Ovis aries: one gene and its partners. The protein of the gene in region 1 interacts with the protein of each later gene in a pairwise test. Links are inferred from orthologs where the notes say so. Each region holds a gene or a part of one and is shown in the gene's direction. Other genes may lie near its edges.

The links.
Region 2: the proteins of ARRB2 (region 1) and MAPK9 interact in binary tests that used the Homo sapiens proteins (3 or more experiments, as listed by UniProt). The two-hybrid records come from large-scale screens. The link is inferred for Ovis aries from reciprocal best matches to the Homo sapiens genes ARRB2 and MAPK9.
Region 3: the proteins of ARRB2 (region 1) and ADRB2 interact in binary tests that used the Homo sapiens proteins (3 or more experiments, as listed by UniProt). The link is inferred for Ovis aries from reciprocal best matches to the Homo sapiens genes ARRB2 and ADRB2.
Region 4: the proteins of ARRB2 (region 1) and EGFR interact in a protein complementation assay, tested with the Homo sapiens proteins (3 studies listed by BioGRID and IntAct, with this or other methods). The link is inferred for Ovis aries from reciprocal best matches to the Homo sapiens genes ARRB2 and EGFR.
Region 5: the proteins of ARRB2 (region 1) and AGTR1 interact in a two-hybrid assay, tested with the Homo sapiens proteins (2 studies listed by BioGRID and IntAct, with this or other methods). The link is inferred for Ovis aries from reciprocal best matches to the Homo sapiens genes ARRB2 and AGTR1.

The regions. Positions count from the first base shown.
Region 1 is NC_056064.1:26,515,312-26,518,291, reverse strand, and holds the end of ARRB2 (beta-arrestin-2), read left to right. Parts: coding exon 1-68; intron 69-347; coding exon 348-485; intron 486-1,210; coding exon 1,211-1,294; intron 1,295-1,396; coding exon 1,397-1,476; intron 1,477-1,554; coding exon 1,555-1,642; intron 1,643-1,923; coding exon 1,924-2,017; 3' UTR 2,018-2,480; downstream 2,481-2,980. UniProt on the Homo sapiens protein: Functions in regulating agonist-mediated G-protein coupled receptor (GPCR) signaling by mediating both receptor desensitization and resensitization processes.
Region 2 is NC_056058.1:712,405-718,653, forward strand, and holds the start of MAPK9 (mitogen-activated protein kinase 9), read left to right. Parts: upstream 1-2,552; 5' UTR 2,553-2,796; intron 2,797-6,249. UniProt on the Homo sapiens protein: Serine/threonine-protein kinase involved in various processes such as cell proliferation, differentiation, migration, transformation and programmed cell death.
Region 3 is NC_056058.1:58,014,990-58,020,187, forward strand, and holds ADRB2 (beta-2 adrenergic receptor), read left to right. Parts: upstream 1-2,335; coding exon 2,336-3,592; downstream 3,593-5,198. UniProt on the Homo sapiens protein: Beta-adrenergic receptors mediate the catecholamine-induced activation of adenylate cyclase through the action of G proteins. The beta-2-adrenergic receptor binds epinephrine with an approximately 30-fold greater affinity than it does norepinephrine.
Region 4 is NC_056072.1:1,091,539-1,098,000, reverse strand, and holds the start of EGFR (epidermal growth factor receptor), read left to right. Parts: upstream 1-2,563; 5' UTR 2,564-2,725; coding exon 2,726-2,813; intron 2,814-3,471; exon of another isoform or gene 3,472-6,130; intron 6,131-6,462. UniProt on the Homo sapiens protein: Receptor tyrosine kinase binding ligands of the EGF family and activating several signaling cascades to convert extracellular cues into appropriate cellular responses.
Region 5 is NC_056054.1:240,268,554-240,274,729, reverse strand, and holds the start of AGTR1 (type-1 angiotensin II receptor), read left to right. Parts: upstream 1-2,249; 5' UTR 2,250-2,442; intron 2,443-6,176. UniProt on the Homo sapiens protein: Receptor for angiotensin II, a vasoconstricting peptide, which acts as a key regulator of blood pressure and sodium retention by the kidney.

The DNA.
Region 1 (2,980 bases):
CAGTACGCCGACATCTGCCTCTTCAGCACTGCCCAGTACAAGTGTCCCGTGGCTCAGGTTGAACAAGAGTGAGTAGCAGAACAGCCCTGGGAAGGGTGGGCCCTGGGAACATGGGGACGTGGGTGGTTCTTCTCAAACTGTCTCAACTTACAAGGGCATTCCCTCCAGTCTGAGGGTGGCTCTGAGCTGCCCGTTTTCTTGAGCAGCTTGAGCCAAAACCTACTCCTTGTGACCCGTGCCCACAGAGAGGAGGGGCTGGTGATGCGGGAGAGGCCGCTGGGGGTGGGAGCTGCCCCCTTGCCCCGCCTGCCCCCTCAGAGTCTCCCTCTCTTGTCCCCACCCTGCAGTGACCAGGTGTCACCCAGTTCCACATTCTGTAAGGTGTACACCATAACCCCCCTGCTCAGCAACAACCGGGAGAAGCGCGGCCTCGCCCTGGATGGGAAGCTCAAGCACGAGGACACCAACCTGGCGTCCAGCACCATGTGAGGGGGAGTCGGCAGGGAGGGGGGCTGGCTGCAGCGCAGGAAACTAGACACCCATTCTGTGCGGCTGTGTGCCAGGTTCTGTCCCCGGGGCCAGGGCTCTATCACTGAATAGATCCCAAACACCTCTCCTGTTCTCAGAGGGAGGCCAGACAAATCAGATACAGGACAGAATGTGTAGTGTGTTTAGTGACAGGTGTTAAGGAGAAAAAGCAAGACTGACATGGGAGATATAAAGGGGAGGGTGGTAGAAGGGATGGGGAGGCCTGATCCAGAGGTGGATTCTGGGTGAAGACGCCAAGGGAGTATGTCATGTGGATGTGCAGGGCAGGAGCGCTCCAGGCAGAGGGTACCGCAGGCACAAAGACCCTGAGGTGGACCACCCGGGTGTCTGAGGCAGGCCCTCTAGGGGCAACAGCTTCATAAAGTAGGGGCTGGATTTCACCCCTCCCCACCCCTCTGTACACGACCACACACAGCAAGCCTTGGAGGCCAGCCTGGGAGCTGGAAGTGGGGTCAGAGGGCTGATGGAGAGCAAGACAGTGCAGGGTGGCTGGGCTGTAAGGACTTGGGCTTTTACTGAGAGAGCGATGAGAAGGACCACAGCAGAGTACTTTACGTGACATGAGCATGCTGGTATCTGTAGTCCGCCTCCTCATGGGGGCCCCGGGGTGGGCAGTGGGCAGAGCAGTGGGCTCTGGTCCAACCCCTTCCCCCAACTGCAGCGTGAAGGAGGGTGCCAACAAGGAGGTGCTGGGGATCCTGGTGTCCTACAGGGTCAAGGTGAAGCTGGTGGTATCTCGAGGCGGGTGAGTGCTGGGCTGGGGGGAGCCTGGGGGTGGGGTGGGGCACAGGGGTTTCCTCTGGCTCTGCACTATCATCTCTTCTTGCCACCTCTCCCCCAATCCCAGGGACGTCTCAGTGGAGCTGCCTTTTGTTCTCATGCACCCCAAGCCCCATGATCACATCGCCCTTCCCAGGCCCCAATCAGGTGAGCCTGCCACCCACCCAAGCCCACAAAGGGAGGGTCTGAAGCAAGGCCAGCGGAGAGGAAAGCTGGTCCTTTTAGTACCCACCCACCCCCCGGCTCTCCTCCCCTCAGCTGCTCCTGAAACAGATGCCCCTGTGGACACCAACCTCATTGAATTCGATACCAAGTAAGAGTGCCCCACCCCTTCAAGCGTTGACTCTCTGGACAGATTCCTGTAACATTCAGATCTACCCTATTTTTCCCTTTGGGAGGCGGGATGGTTGAAGCATCCAATTGAGAGGACTTAGGCTAATGAGCTGCCAACTACCACCCCTTCTCTGTCCCTTCTGCAAACATCTCCAGTCCCAAGGCTGCTCTGGCCGGCGCCTCTGTCTCTGGGAGGGGAGGGGACTGGGAGGTGGAGGAGGCCTAGGGCCCCCACCTCACCCCCTCCTCTCTACCACCAAGCTATGCCACAGACGACGACATTGTGTTTGAGGACTTTGCCCGACTGCGGCTCAAGGGGCTGAAGGATGAGGACTACGACGACCAGTTCTGCTAGGAAGGGAGGCTGGAAGAAGGGAGTGGATGGCAGGGGCGGGGGGGCAGGTGGAGGCAGGACCAAGACCCCCACTGTCACTGAGGGGGATCCCAGTCCCTCTTCCCTTCCCCTCCACCCAGCGGCTTCCTCGACCAATGCCCCCCCCCCACTCCCCCACCCCCCACCAGATACGCACTGGACCCAGCTCTTGTGGAACATGGGCATTAATTTTTTGACTTCAGCTGTGCTTCCCCAGTCCCCCAGTGGGTGGCAAGCTGTGTTCACACCTCAATTTTTTGGAGGGGGAGCCGAAGAGGAGTGATAATAGGAAAAGAGGGGGAAAGCACTCCCACATTCAACCTCACACCTACACCCCCTCCTGTCACTCTCTCTGCCTCCCATTCCTTCAGGATGAGACCCTTTGGGGGGCAAGACCACTTCATTGTTTCTGAGCATAAAGAAGAAAATAAACCTTTTAATAGGCCGGAGTGCGTGTGTTTTCTGAGCGGCGTTTAAGGAGTGCATCGTGTGCTCATCCGTGACTGTCAGCTGTGAGACTCAGTCCCTTTTCTGCACCCACGTGGCACCTGGCCCACAGGCTGTCAATAAACATTTACGGAATGGCTGAACTGTACCTGTGCCCCAAGGTGAACACAGAAACTTGATTTGGTCAGTCCCGACTCAAAGGCAGTTTGATAAAACCACAGAGCAAACTCTCTCATTTACAGAGGGAATAACAACTCACTTTCCCACAGACTAGATGCTTGTGGGAGGTGGGCAGGGCAGCCCCGTCCCTGTTGGGGCTAACATACACGACCACGGGGTGACCTGTTGTGGCTGAGCTGTTTCCACTGCTCTGTGTGGTTGCTCCCACTGTCTGTTCCTGGGGCTTGGCGGGGCCACAGCTGCAGGCAGAAGCTACACGACTGACATCTCTGTGGAGCCTGGTACTTACACTGTCACACAGAAGCTGAGGCTTCAGGC
Region 2 (6,249 bases), on another chromosome or scaffold:
CACTCAGTCCCAGCTGAAACTATGGGAATATGAGCCTCATGTTGCCAGAGCTTTGACTCTGGCAGACAGTGAAACCAACAATTCGAGAGTTTTCAAGGTGAAAGCTCCCAATTTTTAAATGTTGGTAACTAAAAAACATAGAAACATAGGAAAACTCTCAGGGTTAAACAAGGCATTCTGTGAGCTGAAGCCAGCCTATGGGCCTCCAGTCACCTGTGCCAGTCCACCCACCTAAAAGTCCTCAAAACTTTCCAGTATCCCTTCTCCATCTCCAACATGAATAGGTGATGTGTGGTTCCCTGAACACGGCGTGCAGGTCTTCACTTCAGAACCACTGGGTCTGAATGCTCTGTATGCCTAAAGCACTGGCCCAGCACATTCCTGCTGGCTTTCCATCCTCAGCTGGGGCTTCCTCTGGTCCAGGAGGCCTTCCTCAACTGCTTTTCCCCACCTGGCAGGCTAGATCAGCTGTCAGTCATGCCCATATGTTCCCCTATCCCCCATCCCTACAGTTCTCAACACACTTGTGGCAGGATCTTCTCACTTGTTAGCCTCCACTGGAATTCTGTACACTCTTCCAAGCATAGACCAGCTCCCTGATCCTTATCCTGTCACTTCAGCGGTGTCCATAAATGTTCACCGTACGTCATAAGCCAGAAAACAGAATCCTTTCAGAAAACTCTACATGACATTCTCTCCTCTGATGGGGTGAATATGTGTACAGTGATTTTTGGAACTCACTTTGCATGGGGTGATTGCTGCAAAGTCAGGACTGCAGTGTATCTGAGAATGGGTGCTCCTTCCTAATCTGAGAGGCACCTAGGAATGCTTCTTTGTAAACCGCCAGACCTCATTAGCTTCCCATAATCCTTGATGGTGGCAATTTTTGCTCCCTATTTTCTGTTGTGCATCCGGAGCAGGTAGCAGTATGGTTGGGTGTGGGCAGAAGGCTATCAGGTGGGCCCTTATCAGTGCAGGCAACACTCAGCAACTACAATTTCAAACAAGGATGGGCCATACTTAGTTTTAGAAAACTCACTCTAGTAGCCAAGATCAGGGTGGCCTAAGGGGAACCATGTACCTGGTTCCCTTCCTCTACACTACTCCTCTTCTGAGGTCCTGGTACTCCCACCCTGGCCCTGGGTCACAGGCTTGCCAGCCTCCGTGCCACCTGCTCTGTGCCCCTTAGCTTCCCCATTTGCAGAGTCCTGCTCCTTCCCTCCAGTTTGGCCCTTACCCTGGCCACCCTATGAGGACTGTTCCTCCTTTACAGTTCACAAGTTTCCCAGTCCCCAAAGTCCCCTCACCCCATCCACTGACCTCTGAGATTTTCCCCAATGGGTCCAGCCTTCGTGCCTCACTTCTAGCTTTGCTAATAGAAACACTGGTCTGACAACTCTCCCATCATTTCACACCTTCAGACCTGCTGGAACCAGATCCAGAGGCTAGCTGGGGGAGACACCTCTGAAGAAGGTCACTGCCAACAAATCACAGGTCCTAGGGGCCCTCAGCATTGCACTCCCTTCCCTCCATGTATGACTCTGCCATTCTCTTCTGAGAAGACCCAGGAATGAATGCTCCTTTGTAAAACCACAGCTCTGACAGCCAGACCTCCTGAGTTTCCCATAATCCTTGATGGTGGCAATTTTTGTTCAAGTGGCTTGAACTCTGCTCCAGGCTCACCAGCCAGTCTTCTCCCCTCTGTCACTGACCTGCCAGGGCCAGAGGCCTGCACATGGCCATCTCCTCCCATGTCCCTCCTCGGCTTCTGGCTGCTGCTGCTGCTGCTGCTAAGTCGCTTCAGTCGTGTCCGACTCTGTGCGACCCCACAGACGGCAGCCCACCAGGCTCCCCCGTCCCTGGGATTCTCCAGACAAGAACACTGGAGTGGGTTGCCATTTCCTTCTCCAATGCATGAAAGTGAAAAGTGAAAGTGAAGTCGCTCAGTCGAGTCCGACTCTTCGCGACCCCATGGACTGCAGCTTTCCAGGCTCCTCCGTCCATGGGATTTTCCAGGCAAGAGTGATGGAGTGGGTTGCCATTGCTTCTGGCAGCAACCCTGAAACTGCTTCACAGTGAGCAAAGGAATCCAAGGTCCATTCCCCTCGTCTCCACGTCCTCGCCGCCTCCGCCTCCCAGTCCTGGACGCCAAGGCCGCGGCTTCCCCTCGCCCTGGCCCTCCCCTCATGGACCTTCTCCGCCTTCCTCCAGGCCGACTCGCCGCTGTCAGTCTGCACCTGCAAGCCCAGAGGCCCGGCTTTCGGTCCCGTCAGTACCCCTTTCCATCGCCTCCCAGCGCGGTGCTCGGCTGCCGCGCCGCGGGCACCGGTAAAGCGCAGTCGGCGCGCCGAGCCCGGCCTGCGTCATAAGGAAGCGGAGCGATCAGCTGCGCGGCCGCCAAGCGCCGCTCCCCGAAGACCTGGTCAACCAGCGCCGGGCTCGGCCCGCCTCCCCTCCGGAGCCGCCCGGCAGTAGCCCCAGCCCCGCGCGCGCGCGATTGGCCGCGCCCGCCCAGCTCTCCGCGCGCTGATTGGCCGGCGCGCGGGTCGGTCAGACCGGGCGCCGCGGCGGCGGCTGCAGCGGAGGAGAAGCAATCCAGACCGGAAGGGTCCTAGGCGCCCCGGCGCCCCTCACAGCCTTTGCGGCGGCGGCGACGGCGGCGGCGGGGCGGAGCGGAGCAGAGCGGGGCGGGGCGGCCAGGCGAGCCCGGGGCAGCGGAGCCGCGAGCAGCTAGCGCGCTGCGCCGCCAGTCCGCCCGCCTGCCCTCTCCCTCTGGCGCGGCGGCGGGGAGGCGAGGTGAGCCCGGCCGGCGGGTTAGGCCCAGCGGGGACTCTGGGACCGAGCCTCGCCGGGGAGGGGCGGCGGGAAGGCCGCGAGGCCAGGCTCCGCGGGGACAGGGGGGTGCGGAGCGGGAGGACCGGGTTCTGTGGGGTCTGCGGGGTGCTGGCGACCCCGGCCGCAGCCCCTCTTCCTCCAGGCTGCCGCAGTCACCCCCTTACGCCCGGCTGTCCGCGCCCCAGAGCTGCGGGCTCGCTCCCTGCTCTGGCCCCGGCAGACCTGCTGTAGGGTCTGTGGGCGCCCCCTCCCCCGCCCCGATTGTTTGGCACCCAGCTGCATACCTCCTCCCGGATGCTCAGAGCCTGGGATCTGATTCCTGCGACCTTGGCGAAGGCACTGATCCTTGCTGTTCCTCTGTTTTCCCCTCGGCAAAGTGGGGGAAATGTCTACCCTTTTGGACAGGATTGTTGTCAAGCTCTATGAATGTGTGTGAAAGCCCCTGGGCGGGAGCCCGCCCGGTGCACACTTGTGGAAAATGAGCGGGATACTGCTCCTTGCTGGCTTGAGTGTAGCAGAGTCCGCCCAGAGTCCCCCATCCTCATGCTCCCCAAGTGCCTTGTCATTGCATACTCAGTGCCCAGCAGTGCCTGAGCGGGCCCTGACCAGCTCACCCCCAACAAGTCCCCCAACCCGGAGCAGTGGTCTCCTAACCTACCCATCTTACTGGCCTTGAACATTCAGCCCTGTTTACCTCAGGACCTTTGCACTTGTATCCAGTGATTGGAGTTGCCTCCCGGATCTTTGCACAGCTGACTCCTTCTGGTCCTTCTCACATGTTCCAATTTACAGAATCCTTTCCTTGACCTCTCTTTCTCCTCCTTTAGTCTTTCTGTCTCATTACATTAATTTTCTTCCCAGTATCTGGTTTGAAACTATTCTGTTGATTCGCCTGTTTATTTTCTGTCTCTCCCATTAGGATTATAGCTTTCTGAAAACAGGTAGTTGTCTGATTTGTCCACTGCTTTATCCCCAGTGCTTAGAAAGCACACAGTAAGTATTCAGTAATATCAGTTAAGTGAGTAAGTGAGTGAATGAATGACCCTGCCAGCCTGTTGCCTCTGCTTTCTCTGTTTAGTGACTTCTGACTAACTTGTGAAACTTACATGCAGATGATAGGTTGCTTTAGTTTTGTGGAACATTTTAATGTCCTTGACCCTTTTATTTGGTAACTATCAGAACAAGCTGTAATATAAAATCTGACATTTTTATAATGTTTTCGCTCTAACTTCCTTCCTCGCATTCAGGACATATTGACTGAATTCTACATTATCCAGGTCAGCTTTCTGCTCGGCCCTGGGGACACAAAGGCAGTAGCAACAGGGTCCCTTCCTCCAGAGAGCCCAAGAGCCCAGTAGAGAAAGGAGACATGCAGACAGTGCTCGGACAGCTTGCTGTATAGCAGGGCTGTGCTGTGGAAACTTGGAGGAGGCGGTGGTGCTTGGCTGGTGCTGGAGTTGGCTTGAATGGTGATGAGAAACTTGTCAGGTCTAGGGGAAGACAAGACGTGGGGAAGGGCAGGGTGAAGGAAGAACTTCAGCCCAATCAGTTGAGTTCACTCGCTCAATCATGTCGCTGTTTGGGACCCCATGGACTGCAGCACACCAGGCTTCCTTGTCCATCACCAACTCCCAGGGCTTGCTTGAACTCATGTTCATCAAGTCGGTGATGCCATCCAACCATCTCGTCCTCTGTCATCCCCTTCTCCAATATTCAGCCCAATGTTGGGGTCAAAAACCAGCCTGTGGGGCCAGGTGTGAGAGATTAGAGTAGTGGAGACCCTGGAGAACCAGACACCACTTACCCAGCAATTTTTAGAAAGAAGCCAGAACTTGAGATTTGTATCTGCACTCTCTTCATGTTCAATTGTTGGCAGTAGCTTATTTTAAAATGTTTTCAGTGCTGTGAGCCAAGCAAAATGCAGACCTCATTCAGTTTTATTTCAGGATTGTCGGACTCCGGACTTCAAGGCAGGTTGTTTAGGAGGGAAGAGTTGCAGTGAGCTAGAAGGGTAGCCCACGACTAGGGCAGCTCGGCCCTGTTTGTCCAGGAACTCTCTTTTGGCACTGGAGCCCTGCGATAGCAGCTAGGAAGCCTGCTAGCCTCCACTTTCTACACAGGAGGAAGCAGAGGCTCCCAGGGTTTCGGCAGTCTGTTTTGTAGCAAGCAGCTGGAAAGTGAAATTTGAACCCAGGTCTCCCGCAGATCAGCATTCTTTCCTGAGTCCCTTAGCTCTGAGTATTCTCTTTGGCTCTTAGTTTGTTCTGGAAGAATAAAATCCAATCTAGATATCGTTTCCCTTCATTTATCCCTTTTTTTCCCCTTCAAGAGGATCCTACAGGGTTAAAAACAATCCTATTTTGGCATAGTCTGTCGCTGAAGAGCGTTCTTTTCCTGAGTTTCTTGAGGAGAATCCACTCCTGAGAACTTAACTTTTCAGGATGCCACTTTAAATAATTTGTTGACAGATTAAAATGTGTTTATTTGGCCTTCCTAAATAAATGTTAGAAGGTACACCTCAATTTGTCTATTTAAAATAAAATGTCTTAATTTTCTGGATAGAGAAAAGTGCCATATGAAGCAATTAATAGTGAGCAAACCAATTTATTTCATGATATATGAGGTAAAACAAAACCACATTTTTTCCTTAACATTGTTGATTTGGCAGTAGGAGGGCATGGCAGCTCACTCCAGTATTCTTGCCTGAAGAATCTCACGGGCAGAGGAGCCTGGCAGGCTTCAGTCCATAGGATCGCAAAGAGTCGGACACGACCGAAGTGACTAACACACGTGCCTGCACAGCTGTCTCTAATCTAGTTATACTTGGTTAAGAAGGTGACATTTTTACATGATTTTCCTTAAGAATTACTAAATTTGTATTTGCCCCTTTGTGATTGTATGAACTGGTTTCAACAACAGTCTTCGTTGTAACTGTTTATTACGAGATTTCAAACATGTAGGAAAGTAAACAGTGGTATCTAGCTTCAACTATCACTAACCGCTGGCCAACCTGGTTCACCCCTGCCCTCGTGCCTACAGCTCTCACACACCCTCCAGCACACACTGTGCTATTGTTTTCAAGCAAATCCTAACTATCATGTCATTTCACCCATAACTTTTTCAGTTTACGTCTGAAAATTTTTAAAAAATAAGAATTCTTTCAAACTTGGAAAAGCAGTAATTAGTCATTCTGTGATATCAAATAGCCAGCCAGCACTCAGATTTCCAGGTGTCTCATAAATTTTATAGTTCCTTTAATAGTTTCTTCCTTGGAATACAGATCCAGATAAGGACCATATATTGCGATTGGTTGATAATGTCTTTTAAAAGTCTTTTGATCTGTAGATCCCTCTTTATTTCTGTTTTTCTTTTCCTTGTAGTTTATTTGTTGAAGCGATAATATTTCTGTTATTG
Region 3 (5,198 bases), on another chromosome or scaffold:
CTGCTAGTGAGGAAAGTTAAAAAGAGCATGTAGTTTAAATTTTGTTTCTGAGTTATACTTCTTGTGTAAATGTCCATGTTGCTTTTGTCCTAAAGCATTTTAGTGTTCTATTAGAGAATACTAACAATATCTTCTAAACTACTAAGTAATTTATATAAATTTATGTATAACCTTCATTTGTGTGGCATTTATTAAGTGCAAATCATAATTACCTTTGTCATTATATCATCTGATTCTCATTCAGCACAATGGAAGTGACTTTATTCCTCATTTAGATACGGAGGAAATTAGACTCCACATTTTTTATTTGCCTAAGGAATATAAGCTAGAAAGTTCTAAGATGAGAATTTGAAACCTGGTATTCCAATTCCAGTTGCGGTCCTTCTTCCCCATCCTCTATTCCTTTCTGCACTGTGGTGACACAGTACATTGAAAGGATTAAAAGATGGATTTTAGAGTCAAACAGGACTGGGTTCAGCTCCTGCTTTTGGCACTGCCTGGTCTTGTGCCCATGGGCAAGTTATTTTCTTCTTTGAGACCCCTTTGTGAATTAAGCTAAAAATAGTTATACCCTACCCCACCCTAACAACACACACCATGGGACTGTGGGAAGGATTAAATGGAATAATGCATGAAAAGCACATAGCAGAACGTTCCATAAATGTTAGCCATTGTTATGTTATTATGTAATCTAGAAAATATGTTCAGTTACACTGCATGAAATACTTTCCATTTTTCAAAGACACAAATGATACATGTGAAATCAAACCCTGACAATTAATTTTTTAAACAGTAAATTCATATGCCAGATGCAATGGATAGTATTTCATGGACAAAGACTCTAGTTTTTTTAAGAGAAGTTATCTTTTGCTTTCTGTGGTTTCAAAACATTTCTTAATGTTAACACCTTCTTATAATCTGAGCCATATGAAATTGTCATCTATTTAAAGTCAGATACTACAGAAAAGTGGCAATTTCATACGGCTCAGCCCAACAGATCAACAAACTACCCAACAGAAGATTTTTCTCGTTGCAAAGGGATTATTGAAGAAGTTGAACTTGAAAATTATTTCATTTTCAACATATTCTCATTTTAACAGATAAGGAAGGAACAATGCCACACTCCCTAGAATTAAGAATTAAAGCATACAACCTTCTCTTCCTATCCCCAAGCACATACACGTATACCCCAGCTCCAAATGAAATCCCAAGAGTAAAATTAGGTCTCAATCCCTGCAAATTTCCAAGGAGGGCACCAAAAGTACTGGACAGCAAGCATGCTGAGGAAGTTGGCTGCTGTTAAAGTCACCACCTGTGGTCTTGCCAAATGTCTGAAAGGGAATATGCCATGAGACCTGTGTATTGGGGAAGATGGGGGGGATGTCCAGGGGGCAAGGGTAAAGAGTTTGGAATATCCGGATGGGGAAGTCCTTCTCTGTGGCACACTGCTTGCCTCCAAGTGGGCGTTTGTATGCCGTTTGTTTACTTCTTTTTGTCTGTATGTCGGTGTCTTTATGCTTCTGGGTGCTCCTGGTTTGCTCCTGGCCATGTCGATCGTGCTGGACAGGGGTGATTGTGCCAGTCGGCTTCTGTGCCTGAGCACTCGTTGGTGCGCTGGATGGGTGTGTCTGAGTGTCTGTGGCTGTGGTTCCGTATAAGTCTGAGCATGTATGTCGGGGTACAATGTGCCTGCCTGTGCGTGTCTCGGTGGGCACGCTCATCTAATGCGAGGAAGTGCCGGAGTATTGCCATCTGCCCTGAGACCTCAAGCCGCACAGCCGCCCCAGGCAGACAGGTAGCGCCCACCAAAGAACCGGCACCTTCTAGCTGGCTGGTAAGCTCGCTAGAGCCGGCTTCAGCCTCCGGGGCCAGCCGAGGGAGCCCCGAGGGAATGGTGGCCGACCCGCCCTGCTAGAGCAGCTGGGTCCCGCCCGGGCCAGCCCCAGGAGCAGGCAGGAGAGGGGAGGGAAGGGGCGGGAGAGGGCGTGGGCCTCGCCCCTTTGGGGCTTCCCGCGTTCTATTGGTTGAAAGTTCTAGCACGTCACGGGGAGGGCAGTTCCCCTAAAGTCCTGGTCACATAACGGACAGCGCGCACTCAGAGACGGCTTCTCCAGAGCGCAAGCTGGAACTGGCTGAAACTGCCCGGCACTGCGAGTCCAGAGTACCCCCGGAGCTGAGTGCACCACGCACCCCTACCACACCCGCACCCACCCACGGCCGCTGAATGAGTCTTCCAGGTGCTCGCTTGCTGCCCGCAGCGCCCCGCCGGAGGTCCGCTCGCTGAGGGCGGCTGGTGCGCCGGCAGCCTGTGCGCTCACCTGCCAGCCTGCGCGCCATGGGGCAGCCCGGGAACCGCAGCGTCTTTTTGCTGGCGCCCAACGCAAGCCACGCGCCGGACCAAGACGGCACGCTGGAACGGGACGAGGCCTGGGTGGTGGGCATGGGCATCCTCATGTCGCTTATTGTCCTGGCCATCGTGTTTGGAAACGTGCTAGTCATCACAGCCATTGCCAAGTTTGAGCGTCTGCAGACGGTCACCAACTACTTCATCACCTCCCTGGCCTGTGCTGACCTGGTCATGGGCCTGGCAGTGGTGCCCTTTGGGGCCTGCCACATCCTCATGAAAATGTGGACTTTTGGCAACTTCTGGTGTGAGTTTTGGACTTCCATTGACGTGTTGTGCGTCACGGCCAGCATTGAGACCCTGTGCGTGATCGCTGTGGATCGCTACTTTGCCATCACGTCACCCTTCAAGTATCAGTGCCTGCTGACCAAGAATAAGGCCCGGGTGGTCATTTTGATGGTGTGGATCGTGTCTGGCCTTACCTCTTTCTTACCCATTCAGATGCACTGGTACCGGGCCAGCCACAAGGAAGCTATCAAGTGCTATGCTAAGGAAACCTGCTGTGACTTCTTCACGAACCAACCCTATGCCATTGCCTCCTCCATTGTGTCCTTCTACCTTCCCCTGGTGGTCATGGTCTTTGTCTACTCCAGGGTGTTCCAGGTAGCCAAAAGGCAGCTCCAGAAGATCGACAAATCTGAGGGCCGCTTCCATGCCCAAAACGTCAGTCAAGTGGAGCAGGATGGGCGGAGCGGTCTAGGACAACGCAGGACATCCAAGTTCTACTTGAAGGAACACAAAGCCCTCAAGACTTTAGGCATTATCATGGGCACTTTCACCCTATGCTGGCTGCCCTTCTTCATTGTCAACATTGTGCACGTGATCCAGGATAACCTCATCCCTAAGGAAATTTACATCCTTCTAAACTGGTTGGGCTACATCAACTCCGCTTTCAATCCCCTTATCTACTGCCGGAGCCCAGATTTCAGGATTGCCTTCCAGGAGCTTCTCTGCCTGCGCAGGTCTTCATTGAAGGCCTATGGGAATGGCTGCTCCAGCACCAGCAATGACAGGACTGACTACACGGGGGAACAGAGTGGATATCACCTGGGGGAGGAGAAAGACAGTGAACTGCTGTGTGAAGACCCCCCAGGCACCGAAAACTTTGTGAACCAGCAAGGTACTGTGCCCAGTGATAGCACTGATTCACAAGGGAGGAATTGTAGTACAAATGACTCACTGCTGTAATGCAGGTTTTTCTACTTTTTAAGACACCCCTTCTCCCCGGTTCCCTGCAACAAAACACTAAACAGACTATTTAACTTGAGTGTAATAAATTTAGAATAAAGTTGTACAGAGATGTGCAGGAGGAAACATATCCTTCTGCCTTTTTATTTTTTATTTTTTTAAGTTGTGACAAAATATATTTGAGTAACTGTTTCTTGTACAGTTCAGTTCCTCTTTGCCTGGAACTCGTTAAGTTTATGTCTGAAGGGCTTCAGTCTCAAAGAACCTGGGGCTGCTATGTTTTGATGACTTTTCCTGCATATCTACCTCATTGATCAAGTATTAGGGGTAATATATTGCTGCTGGTAATTTGTATCTGAAGGAGACCTTCCTTCCTGCACCCTTGGACTGGAAGATATTGAGTCTCTCGGACCTTTCGCTGTGAACATGGACTCTCCTCGCCCCTCTTATTTGCTCAAACGGGGTGTTGTAGGCAGGGACTTGAGGGGCAGCTTTGGTTGTTTTTCTGAGCAAAGTCTAAAGTTTACAGTAAATAAATTGTTTGACCATGACTTCATTGCACCTGTTTCTCCAAAACCCCTTGACTGGAGTGTGCTTGCCTCCCCCACTGGAAACTGCAGGTAACTATTTGCAATAACTGCCCAGTGACTTAATGTGGAATGACACGCACCGATTGCTTAACCCTTTCGTTTGCCTTTGAATCTGCCGCTGCAAACCTGCGTCTCTTCTAACGCTGCTGCTCCCACATCGGTTCTTTCGCCGTGTGCTCACCCAGCACAGCTCATCTTGCTCTTCCTACGAGCATTATTCCTGTGTTGTAACATCAGAAACACTGACTCATAGAACTGGAGTTATGGGCATCTGTTGTGTGCCTCCATGTGCCTCTGCTGCCCACCTTCCAGTTCTACTTGCTTTGCAGCTGCTTATATTTTTATCCTTGTCTTTTCTTATAGTAGAGATCATACTGCATCAGGGCTTGGCATTTTGAGGATAAGGAAGCTCTTGTGAAAAAGCTGCTCAAACATAGCCCTGAAATTCCAAGGGAAATGAAAAAGTCATGGGTTATAGGGAGAAAAGCTGGAAAACATGTCACTGGTGAATACCTCATGATCTAGAAACAGGGTTGAACCCTCCTCCTTTTGAACTGCTGTCCTTCTTTGCCCCCTCTCCCTGTGACTCTAGTCACTTCAGGACAAATCAAGATTTCTCAACCTCGTACTTTTAACATTTTCAGCCAGATAATTCTCCACTGTGGAAGACTGTCCTCCACATTGTCAGATGTTCAGCAGCAGCCCTGGTCTCTACCCATGAGATGCCAGGAGCATCCCCTGAGCTGTGACAACCAGAAATGTTCTCCAGTCACTGCCAGATACCCCTACCTTGAGGGATGAAATTGTCCCTGGTTGAGAACCAGTTATAAACTTCAAAACTCTAAGCAGATGTTTAGATTCTACCTATTATAACCACTTTATTTTGCAGAGCACCAGAGAGGCATTTTTCAGTTTTCTCAGTTAGTGACAGACCCTGGGCCAGTGTTCTACTTCATCACACTGCCTTCCAAGCTTATTCACCAGCTGCCCACAGACTGACTGTGAGACGTGAATTG
Region 4 (6,462 bases), on another chromosome or scaffold:
TCCTCCCCTTCCACAGGGTGTGTGGTTTCAGGGGATTCTCTGCCTTGTGCCCTCTAGAAAGGATTGAACTCTTACTTAAAATACTCAGAAACCTCTTCAAAGAGGAGAACTGCTCATCAGAGGAGAAAAAGAGTTTCCAATTTGTAGCTGGCAAGGTAATGAACAAATCTGTTATGAAAATGGATAGACAACAGGAGATTTAATGTGGAAATGCTTGGTGTGCAGGGAGGCTTTATCTAGGAATTTGGTGGCCAAGTAGAAATTTTGGTGGTACTGTCTCTAAAATGTTTCCAAAATATTCTGAAACAGAATTTGGAGGGCTAAAGTCTCTATGTGTCTCAGGTTTGGAAAAGTGGCAGTATGACAGTGATGAAGGACATTGCCAGGGTTTGGATTTGAGACTGGCCTCATGACTAGCAAGGATGCTTTGAGACTTTGGGCAAGTTATTTACTTAACATTTCCTAGCCACAGCATCATCTTGCCATAAAAGACAGACAAGTAACCTTGCTCATAGGTGGTCAGATAAGTGAATTTCTAAACAGCACCTAGTACAGTGGAGTCAGGGCTGCTCCTGCTTTTCTTGTGGTGGTAATGGTGGTGGCAGCTTTTGCTTGGGCTATGGCCCGGGATGTGACCTGGGGTCACTTTCTTCCAAGGCTGAGTACCCAAGCATCCTCTACAAAGGGCCCAGTCTGGGAAAAGCTCTGTTCTCTCAGGATATAATTTCTGCTAGCTCAGTCACACAGTTCTTTACTTAACAAGTAACACATTTATAAATACACACCCCTCCATGTACCTATCAAAGAGCATAAAATCATCCTGAATGTCACCCTTCATATCACAGGCTCAGGACATGTCACACATCAGTCCCAGGAGGATGGTGCACCACCCTTTTCTCTGCAGTCACTGAACGCACCCCGTATCGACTCGTGTGCCACACTGTCTCTTGAGGTCATCGTTTCCACAAATCTCTCCATCTTGAAATACCATCAGGTCATGTGGAAGGATGCACTGTGAAGGTTATTGCTGTTGACCTCTTTTGGGGGACTCATAGGAGAATTCCTGTGCAGTCTTCCAAATTGGTGGTAGCTTTGTGTTTTAATGGACAATGGATCCATGCTACTGCATAAATGTTTCCTCAACAAAGGCTTAGGTCTCAATCTGTGGCCCTCGTGGAGTACATGCCTGGAACTTCTGTGAGCAGGTCAGCTATGAGAAGTACCCCTGGCTGCACTCCATGCCCACTGCTATGTGCCCCGTGCTCTTCTCTAGCAGACGGTGCTTTCCTGTGGCTGTTTTTTTACAAACCACTTTAAGTCCTTGCTTGGAGTGTTTGGAGGGGACTGAAGCCATGGCCTGCAGAATCTACACAGCCTTCTTCATCCAGGGGCTGGATGAGTTCAACAGGCTGAGTGGTCATCCTGATTCATTAAAATGAAGGAATAAACACAAATAACTCTAAATTTCCAGGAGCCCCAGGTTCCATGGACTTGCTGCCTGGGAAGGAAAGATGCAAGGTCTGCTCCTCCCCATAGGAAAGATCCTGCTCTAACTCCACTTATTTTAAGTTTGTGATTCCAGCTTAAATATCAGGGAGTCCAGAACTAAACCACCTGAATGTCACAGTGGCTCTTGTGAAGAAAAGGAGTCTGACTGTAGAGGGTGGAGGAGTCTGTCCAGGAGGAAGAGGAGCAGTAGGTTAGGGTGGGCTTTGCTGAAGGAATTTAGCTAAAAAGATCCTGCAGCCTGAGAAAGCCTAATTTCTTCCTGCCCAGTCCTTAGTGGGTTTCTCTGTCTTTCTCTTGCTTGAGTTACACCGTGGTGTCTCTGGGCGGATGGGCATCTAGCTAGTATTTATATTAAGCCTTTATTCTAAGCGCTTTGACTTTCTGAAGCGATTTACTTCATGGAACCCTGGCATACTCCTTCGGTGTCCACGCATTCATTCAACAAACATTTTTCCAAGGCTAGTCTCTGCCAGGAGTTGGGTGTCCTTGTTTCGTTTGAATTCGAGGGTGCTTGACGCGACCTGAAGGACCCTCGGGCTGGAGAGCGCATCTCAGAGGCCAGGCACCCACCCCAGCCACGAGGGCGCGGCTAACGAACGTCTTAGCTGCTAGGCCACTTTCGATCCCCACTGAGATCCCAGGGTGCTCAGAGGAGTTGGGTGCCGGAACAAAGCGGTGGTTTCCCCCCAGGCACCCTTATCTGGCCTTGGGCCTAGGGCTCAGCCAGTTTGCCTGGAGTTAGTACAAGTTTGCTCCGCAACTTGGAGGGAGAAAGAGGGGGAAAAGGCAACTTCGGCACAAAAGTGGCTCGAAGAAGGCTGGATCAGGGAGACCGCAGGCGCGTCCGCGGGGGACGCCCGGCTCGGCTCCTCACGGCCCCTCCTGGACACCGGGCTCCTGGGGCAGCCGCTGTCCGCCGCCCCTAGTCCTGCCGGCCGGCGCTCCTCGGGCGGGTTCCTCCTCGGCCAGGCGCGCCGTCCGCCCCTCCTCCCGGGCCCTCCTCCTGCAGCCCGGCCTCCCCGCGCCCCCGCCCCCGCCTCCGCCCCAGCGAGCCAGAAGTCCCGGTGGCTGGCGCAGCGCGCAGCCTCCGCCCCGGCTCGGTGCGCACGCCCGCGGCCCCACGCGAGCCCTGTCCGTCCCGCGCCGCCGTGTCCCGCGCCGCCGAGACCAGCGCACGGCGGCCGCTGCGTCCCGACCGAGTGCGGAGCCCGGCGCGATGCGACTCTCGCGGGCGGGCCGCGCGGCGCTCCTGGTGCTGCTGGCCGCGCACTTCCCGGCGAGTCTAGCGCTGGAGGAGAAGAAAGGTAAGGACGCCCGCGCCGCCGTCCTTCCCGTCCCGGGCGGCCGCGCTTTCCGCCGGGCTGCGGAGGAATGCGCGTCTCGGTTCCGGGCGGCGGGGCAGCCTCCGGCGCGGGGCGCGGGGCGCGGCGGGCCGCGGCGCCCGCAGCGCGGCTCTCCCCTCTGCTCTCCTGCCCTCCGCGGGCTGGACGCCCAGGCGAGCGCGTCCCAGCACGTGCGCCCACAGTCTGCCCGGCCCGGGGGCCGAGGGGGGACACGGAGTCCACCTCGCTCCCTCGGACCTCCAGGACCGGAGCGGCCCTCCGCGCCCGTCCCCGCACCCGCGCCCAGCCTCCGGTCAGGCTCCCGAGCCGGGGAGCCATCCTCCCAGAGCTGCCTTAACCTGGAGGCCCGGAAGCTCGTTCCGGGCACCGGCCACCTGTGCTGCGAGTCAGCGAGGGCCGAGGTACCCGCTGGCCCCAGGGGGCGGCTCGCACGGCGCCTCCACACCCGGGTGCGGCCCGAGCTGCCCCCGCCGTCCGCGCCCCTCCGGCGGTGGACTCTCCTGAGTGGTGGTTTCCCGGGACTCCCGAGACTCGCCCCCACCTGCAGCCCGTGGGCCGCGTGTCCCGGCTTCGAGGTGGATGGGACGGAGGGTGGGACAGGCCGTGGCCAAACAGCCGGGGCTTGGTGCGAACGCCCCAGAGGGGGGAACCCATCCTGGCTGGTTCTCCATGGTTTCAAAACAGGGCTCACAGCAAGCTTTCCTCCTCAAAATCCAGAAATTTTTGTGTCTGGGATGTGTTTTCTAGTTTTGAAGAATTTGACATTAAGCCAACCAAAATATTAAACTTAATTTAAATAAAAAAAATTGATGTCCGTGATTCACGTGTGCCAAATATCCAGACCCAACATGAGCGAGTCTGGCTTCGTGACTGCCGACCATAAACCCACTTGAAATGAGAAACATGCCTCAGAAGGTTTAATTGCCCAATTTCAAGATCGAGCAGCTTGGGTTCCGAGAGTCAGGTCTGTACTTGCTGTTGAGGTCATTGGCACAGGGTATGGTGCTGAGCGAGTTTGATGCGGGAGCGCTAAGGCATAAAGCAGTGGTTCCCAAACTTTGTTTCAAATTAGAATCACTTGGGATTTGAAACAGAACAAACGAAAAACGATGTCTGGCTCCCACCCCCAGACTTTGTCATTTCACTGGTCTGGGTTGAGACCTGATTGTATGAATTTTTAAAAGCTCTTCAGGTGATTCTGCTAGGCAGTCAAGTTTGGAAATCTCTGGCAACAGAGGTGAAATCTCTGGCAAGATTGCTGCCAATGTAAAAAGCTCTTTGGGAACATCTGGAGTTTTAACAATCTTGCAAAGGAAAGAGAATGATGATTTTATTTAAAAAAGAAATTAGTTTTTTCAATGAAAGTCTCTCCTCCTCTGAGTCCCAGGCTGTGGTCCAGCTCCTGAATCTGTTGACAACAGGATTCCCGCCTGAAAGCAGGTGGCAAGGGGACCCCATCCTTATTTTAAACCCTTGGAGTGCCTCCGAAGCATCACTTTTCTCATTTCAGAAATGTTCCCAGCTCTTTGCTGTTACCCTTCTGAACACTACTATTAATGCTTAAAGATTCTTTTCTAAGAAATATATAAATACCACTTAAATTGCCTGTTAGTCCCATGTTTGTTCAAAACAGAATGCTTCTGAATACGATAGTGAGAGTAGGTGAACAAATGTTAAAGTAACGTCAGAAGACCAAAATGTACGGGGCAAATTATTAACAGCAAGTGTTAAAGACCTGTGTTGATCAAATTTGGTAAGTTTTATTCTAGAACATTTACTCATTTTAGAGAGGCTTCTTTGGTTCTAAGATACAGTGTCCTTTGTTCTCACTGCACTTGGTCCTGTCGGACACCGTTTTAAATGTCCTTTTAATCTTTACATCAACCATACAAGTTGGCTCTTGTCATTCTATGTGGGGAAACCGAGGTACAAAGAAGTAAAGTGACTTTCCCGCAGCTTGCAAAAGGCAGATGTTTGTTTGTTTACCTGAATTTTTAAACTCTGGCCCTCTGACCCTGGAGCCCTTCCCTGGGTGCTGCCTGTGTTGATTTGTTGTTCTGGTTTTAGAGGAGCTCTGTCGGTGTGTGTGATGTAGGATGCTGGCAGAGGGAGGAAGAACACTGGGGATGAGGAAGCCTCCTGCCCATGGTCTGGACTCCTTCTCCCCGTGCTCAGGAGGCTCCTTTTGTGGAAGAACTCTGTCACAAAGTGAGCGATGAATGTGGAGATTGCTGGAGGAATGTGGAGCAAGCTCCTTGCTTTTGAAAAACAGAAAGGGGAAGGTGCTGCTCCAGAAGTGATCGTTCATGGTATTCTCAGCTAGGCCATCCGGCCCGGCCCCTCCTCAGATGATATCCTTGGCTCAGTAGATCTGGGCTGTATAAAAGAGAACAAATTTGGGGATTTTGAATCGTATCCAGGGTGAAGCCTCCCTTTCTTTAAGGAGACCAGAGGATGCCCACTCAGTACTGGCCTGAAGGCCAGGAGCCTGTGTCCTCATTCCCATGCTGTGTGAAGGTGAATCTGTCCCTTGCCAGCTCCAGGTTCTGAGACCTTGTTTCTCAATTCAATGAATGTTTATTGAGTGCATCGCATGTGCCAGACATTATGAGTTAAAAGGGGCCGTGGTTATCCTAACGGTTTGTATTGTTGTTTCCAGAGTGGTTCTTTAGGCCACTGATTTAAGTAGCATCTTGCTTTTCAGATTTGGAAAGGAGACCAGCATCTGGGTGTCTGTCATCTGTCCACACTATGTAGCTCCATCTAGCAGTGAATGGCTGATAGCTCCCATCGGCTTTGGACTGCCATTTCATGCTTCATATATTTAGTTTCATGGTCCATAAGTTTTCAAGAACTTATTCTGAAATTTGAAGACGCCAATTGCCATTCATTGTGCTCCATAATCAGACTCAGTCCCTGTGATGGCACTAACATGTTGTAAAATGTTCTTAGAGGTGGTGTCAGTAAAGAGGAAGAATTCTGCCCTGTTTAAAAGAAAATATTCTTTGTTTTTCCTTTGGTCCAAGCTCCAGAACCAGCAGCTAGTGTCTGAAACTTTCTTCATGGGAGTGGCAAGCCAGCTCTAACATTAAACTGATGATTATGGTGTTTAAGAGAAGATAGCCCACATTGGTGCCCCGAGCCCTGATATGGGGGCAGGATCTGTGATGGGGATACTCAACTTGTTAAAAGACACGTAGGAACTTTCCTGGCCCCTGCTATGTGACTTGCTATGAAAATTGTGTTTGTGTGTGTGTGCACGCTTTAATTTGGACATGCTCAGTCATGTCCGACTCTTTGCGACCCCGTGGACTGTAGCCCACCAGGCTTCTCTGTCCATGGGATTCTCCAGGCAAGAATACTGGAGTGGGTTGCCATTTCCTTCTCCAGGGGATCTTCCCCACCCAGGGATCAAACCCAGGTTTCCCGCATCAGAGGCAGACCTCTGAGTCACCAGGGAAGCCCTGCAATTTAAACAACAGTTAGAACTGGACATGTAACAACAGACTGGTTTGGAAAAGGAGTACGTCAAGGCTGTATCTTACTTAAATTATATGCAGCGTACATCATGAGAAACGCTGGACTGGAAGAAACACAAGCTGGAATCAAG
Region 5 (6,176 bases), on another chromosome or scaffold:
TAATCACAGGAACATTTCCCAATATCACTCACAGACTCTGGAATTTGTCACCTACTTTTGGCTTTTCTACAAAAAGTCTTAGGGTAAATGATTCCAAATGTCTGTGATATTATGAGACAAGTTATAGTCCTCCAACTTGGTTCATTCTCAAGATTATTTTGATTATTCTGAGTCCCTTGTGCTTTCCTAAATTTTAGGATCACCCTGTTAATCTCTTCAAAGACAACTTGTTCAGATTTTTATATAGTTGTGTTTACTCTGTATATTACTTGGAGATTATTTCTATTTTAACAATATTGTCTTCCAACCCATGAACATGGAATGTCATTCCATTTATTTAGGTCTAATTTAATTTCTTTCAACATTATTTTCTGTTTTTAGCATATAATGTTTGCATCCTTTCATTAAATTTATTCCTAAAGTTTAATATTTTTGATCTATGGTGAATGCAGTTTTTTCTTAATTGTATTCTTTGATTGCTCATTGCTGACATACAGAAATACAACTGATTTTGTATACTGCTCTTGCATCATGAAGCCTTTCTGAACTTGTTTATTAGCACTAACAGCTTTTTAATTGATTCCTTAAGATTTTCTAAATACAAGACCATGCTATCTGCACATAAAAATTGTTTCATTTCCTTTCTAATCTGGATGCCTTTCATTTCTTTTTCTTGCCTAATTGCCCTAGCTGGAACCTCTCGAACAATGTTTGATAGATATGTGGAAAGCAAAGAACTTTGCAGTTTTCCTGATCTTAGATGCAAAAACATTATTTTCAACATTAAGTATGATGTTAGTGAGTTTTCACAGATAGATTTCATAGTCTGAAGAAATTATTTTCTATTCTAGTTTGCTGAATGATTTTATCATAAAAAGTGTTAGATTTTGTCAAATGCTTTTTAATTTATTAGGATTATCTTGTGGCTTTTATCCTTTATTCTATTGATATGGTATATTATAACAACTGATTTTTGATAAACTAACCTTGCATTCCGGAGAAGGCAATGGCACCCCACTCCAGTATTCTTGCCTGGAAAACCCCTGGACGGAGTAGCCTGGAAGGCTGCAGTCCATGGGGTCGCCGAGGGTCAGACACGACTGAGCGACTTCACTTTCACTTTTCACTTTCATGCATTGGAGAAGGAAATGGCAACCCACTCCAGTACTCTTGCCTGGAGAATCCCAGGGACGGGGGAGCCTGGAGGGCTGCCCTCTATGGGGTCGCACAGAGTCCGACAGGACTGAAGCGACTTACCAGCAACCTTGCATTCCTCGGATAAATCTCACTTGGACATGGTGTATAATCCTTTTAATATGTTACTAGATCTATTGGAAAAGACTTTGATGCTGGGAGGGATTGGGGACAGGAGGAGAACGGGACGACTGAGGATGAGATGGCTGGATGGCATCACTGACTCGATGGAAGCTAGTCTGAGTGAACTCTGGGAGTTGGTGATGGACAGGGAGGCCTGGCGAGCTGCGATTCATGGGATTGCAAAGAGTCGGACACGACTGAGCGACTGAACTGAACTGAACTAGATCTATTTGCTAATATTTTGCTGAGGATTTTTATCTACATTCATCAGGGAGATTTTCTCCTCATGTCTCATCTTGTTTTGGTATAATGGTGATACCGACCTATAGCGTGAGTTGCAAAGTGATCATCTTCTTCGGAAGAATCGATAAAGAATTTATATTAGTTATTCCTTAAATATTTAATCATTTTTTAAAATTTTTACATATTTTAAAATGTAACTCCAACAACATACCCCAGTAGAAGGAAATGAATGTCCACCCTTTCACTTTGTAACAACTCTGAAATTACAATCTACGGCAGCGATCTTTGATCAACAATGGTATTATCAAAGTTTGAGCTACATCCAGGGAAGAAAAAGAAGTTCCCTAATTCATCCTTAAAAGTTTCCCAAGTTTTAAAAGAAAAAAAGTGGAGTAACCCGGATCTTGGTGTAAATGGCTGGTCCTGCACCCTCGGCTCTCCCCCCTTTCTCCACTCCCTCCCCCGATGCCGGGTTCAGTGCCAGGTACTCGCAGATCTAGTAAGTGACACCGGGGATGGCTGTGGCATCATCCCTCTTCCGTCAGCATCTGGAGAGGAAAGGGGGTTGGGCCGAGAGGGTCTCCCGGGCGGGGCGGAGGAGGAGAGAGTGCAAAACACAGCCTCGCCCCTGGAACCCTCGAAGCAGCAACGCCCCTCGCTATAAATTTGGAGCTGCCTCAGAGAGGACGATTCCAGCGCCAGTCAGCCAAGGGCCTGAGGCGACTGAGCGCCCGGGCAGACGCGCAATTAGCAGCTCTGCCTACCTACCCGAGACGGCGATCCATGAGGAGGAACCCAAGCGAGCCCCGGGAGTGAGGGCGCACCCTGAACCGTTGCCGCCAGCTCGGCCCAATGCCGGCGCAGCGTCCCGAGTGAGCGCGGGTGAGTGGCGCGGACTGCCCCGCCAGCTTGGGGGCTGGGGCGGGGGTGTCAGTTTCGTGCCAAGGTGTCAGCTGCGGGCGCGGTGCCGGGAGGCTCTTGGAGACGGTGGCTAGAGCGAGCTAAGGTTCCCCGGCACCCACTGGAAGGTGGAGGACCTTCCCCAAATCAGATGTGGGAAGAAGCAGTCTGATCTTGTTTGCCGCATGCCCCCCCGACGTTTCATTCTGATTTGACCAAACTCTGTGGATCACAAGTGAGGCATCTGCAGAGATGGGATGCAACCAAGGAAACTTTCTTCCCGAGGCTTTTTAGCTAACTCGCGTCTTTAAACTGTGATCTGTGCATATTACTCCTCGAGGTGGAAGTACCTTTAAAAGTTGTGCCAGTTTAAACGAGTACTTGATCTTCCCCACACTCTGCCAGGCACCTGCAAGGTTCACCTCCCCACCTCCCCTCTTCAAATGATAACGCTGGGTCCTTGGCCCGGGATGCTGAGTCCGCATCGAATTAACTGGGGAGAAGGAAAACGGAGCTTTTCCGCACACGCCAATCCCCACAGCCCTGGCCAGAGCATGTTTGTCACTGAGGGGGATTTTAGAAGAAGTTCTTCTGCTTCCAAGACCGAGCAGAACCTCTTGCTGACGCCTTCCCTTCATACACCCCTCTACCTAGCACCCCATTCTCCAGTTCTGTTAAATGTCCAGCCTGATCTACCCACAACGCCAGATGCTTTGTCTCCAGAAGAGTCTCCTGCCCTGAGCTATTGAGCACATTGCGGGCCTCTTTACCTGATCTTTCTTTGCTGTTGGCTTAATTAAGAATCAAACACCCACGAGTGGCCCTCTGGAGCCCTGTCTTCTTGGTGAAAGTTTGGGTGCTCACTTTCCCTTGGGATCACATTTTCCACCTGGCTACTTCTAGTGTCGTTCCTAGATGAGAGTAACAGTGAGGCAGGGAGGAAATCTGGCACCCCGCCGCTCTGTTTTATAACTTTTTTGAACAACCTCTATCTCCTCTTCAAGTTGCTGTCATCCCCAACATGATTCTCTTGGTAGTTATACCACCCTGGGTCTCCAAGGTTTATTCTCCTTAGCATAAGCTGTAACACCTTTATATGTCTTCTTTAAAGGAAACTGCCTGTTTCCCTTGTTGCCTGCTAGTGTTTCCCTAGCTCTCAAGGCCCCACCACATGGATAATCTCTCTGGAGACTGATGGATTCCAACACCCATCTGGAAGACAGTGCAGGGGCAAGGAAGCACAGAGAGCTGGGAATGGAGACTTCCACATAACTGGCCATGTGCTGTTAGAGTTACTTCACAACTCAAACCTCAGGTCCCTCTAGTGATAAAATTCCTTGATTCCTTTTGTTTCCTAGTTATTGCTTTAAAAAATAAAGTCTAAAACAATTACCCTTTTAGCCCATGTTTGTGCTCCTCAAAACTGTCTAAATAGCTCTCCTGGTAAATTATCTGCTCTGGAAAATCATTGGGTCCAAGTGTCCATCCCCTAGATTACAGTTGGAAGTTTCTACAGCCTGGCTGAAGGATCAGGGAGTGGCCCCAAGTTGCTGGATCTCAACACTTTGCTAAAGTTTTCATGATTAGTAGTATCTAGTCCATTATCTACTCTATTACAGCTCCCTTTTTTTTCTTCCTAATTTCTTTGTTTTTTGTGTCCATCATGAGGCCTCAATTTCTAGCTCGATTCTTCTTTGATCTTAAACTGAATCAACTGTCCCATCATCCAACCCAAAAGAAAGCTGGTTTTCTTCCACTGAAGCCAAAGGGAGACAAGTTTTATAAAGGGTCTCCCAGTCACTCTTGCTTTGGCAATGCTCTGCATCCCAGGAGTTTTGAGCTCAAATCTCTGCTATCCCCCTCTTACTCTGCTTTAGTGCTCAAACTGTGACTTTGTGAATTGTTCAGGTTTCTTCTTTGTTTTTTCTTTTCCTACTTTTAGTAAGAGTTGTGTGTGTGTGCTGGTATATAATTTGGGGTTATTCTGCTGCTGCTGCTGATTACTGTTGTTGTTGTTACTATGATTAATTCTTGTCCTGAGCTAGATGAAAAATAATGAAAGAAAATTTGCTGCTTACCCAAAGCCCAGGTAAAATACTTGAGAGCTTCTCAGATAGCTCAAATAGTAAAGAATCTGCCTGCTATGCAGGGGACCTAGGTTCCATCCCTGGGTCAGGAAGATCCCCTGGAGAAGGGCATGGCAACCCACTCCAGTATTCTTGCATAGAGAATTCCATGGACAGAGGACCCTGGCAGGCTACATACGGTCCATGGGGTCTCAAAGAGTTGGACACGACTGAGTTACACATTCACACATTCGAAAAGGAGTTTGAAACTCACAGTTAAAATGCATGATTCACGTCTCTTATAGTTTTATCTGTGCTTTCACAGTGTCCTTTTAATGCAGCTGACAGTTGCTGTATTTTGTTTTCAAATTTGATACAGGGACCAAGATCCAGACCCATCACACTTGGATGTTTTGGCTGCCTGATGCAGGCTCCCGGTCTTTTGCCCCAAGCTCACTAGTTTACTTAGTCCTCTTCCTGCTCAGTCATGACTGAGCAATGCCAGAGCCTCTCAGAGCAGTCTGAAAAATTAAAAATTTTAGTTAGAAGTTTGAAGTACATCCAAGTGTTATAAAAAATTAAAAGCTGTTTTGAAGACAGACTGTGGCAATAAAAAAATACAGAGCCAGAGCAACAAAATGTCCAAGTATAAAAAATGTAACCAAACACTTACCCCTGTTATCTAGCAAATTGGAAAAACCAGCTTCTTAACCCATCACTACTGGAAAGTACTATTATTTTCTTCAAAATGATTATAAATTTTCTCTTTCAAAATTGTCTGAAGTCATTGGATAACACGGTTTGTTTCTTTTCTCATTAGTGTCTATTAAAACAGTACACTAAATTTAGGTATCGTTTTACATTTTTTATTTTTAATCACAATAGGAATTTCAGCTATGAAAAATCAGCTTTTCAATGGCTTAATATACAAAGCCATCTTAAATCTAGAAGTATCTCTATGGATTTAAGGTAATAGGCAAATGATTTGGCAAATTACTACTATTATCCTATTAAAGCTCTAAAATACATCTATAATACATCACAGCAAAAAAAAAAATCTACAGAGTTATAAATTTGCCAGATGCTTTGTTTGCTGGTTATTTTAATGACAAACTTGACAATTAGAAAACAAAATATATGTTTAGAACAATCATAACATGACAAGTGAATCTTAGCTGTGGTTGTATTAACATTAAAAGTTTTCTGATTTTGATCCTTTCTCTTCATAGCAGATGATCACTGTGGGAAAAAATTTCCTTGACTATGAAAACCAAAATTTCTTTCAAAATATTTTACTAACAAAGAATATTTATATATATATATATATATATATATATATATACACACACACACTAGAAGTAAGTGTCTAGAATCTTCCAGTTATCATTTGATTTTCCTTCCTATAGTCAAGAATATTTTAAACTGTGTTGCCCATTTACTTTTCTAACACAAATTGGAAAAATGGGTAAGAAATAGGTATGCTTTATTTTTCATAGTCTAAGTACCAATTCTACATGCCCTTAATATTTAAAATCATAGCATTAATAACCATTCAGTTTGGGTCAAGTTTTATGGGATTTCTTATTCTCTTCATATAACCAAAGCTGCTTTGTTCTTCATCAGGTGATGTTAAAATCTCATTTAGATCAA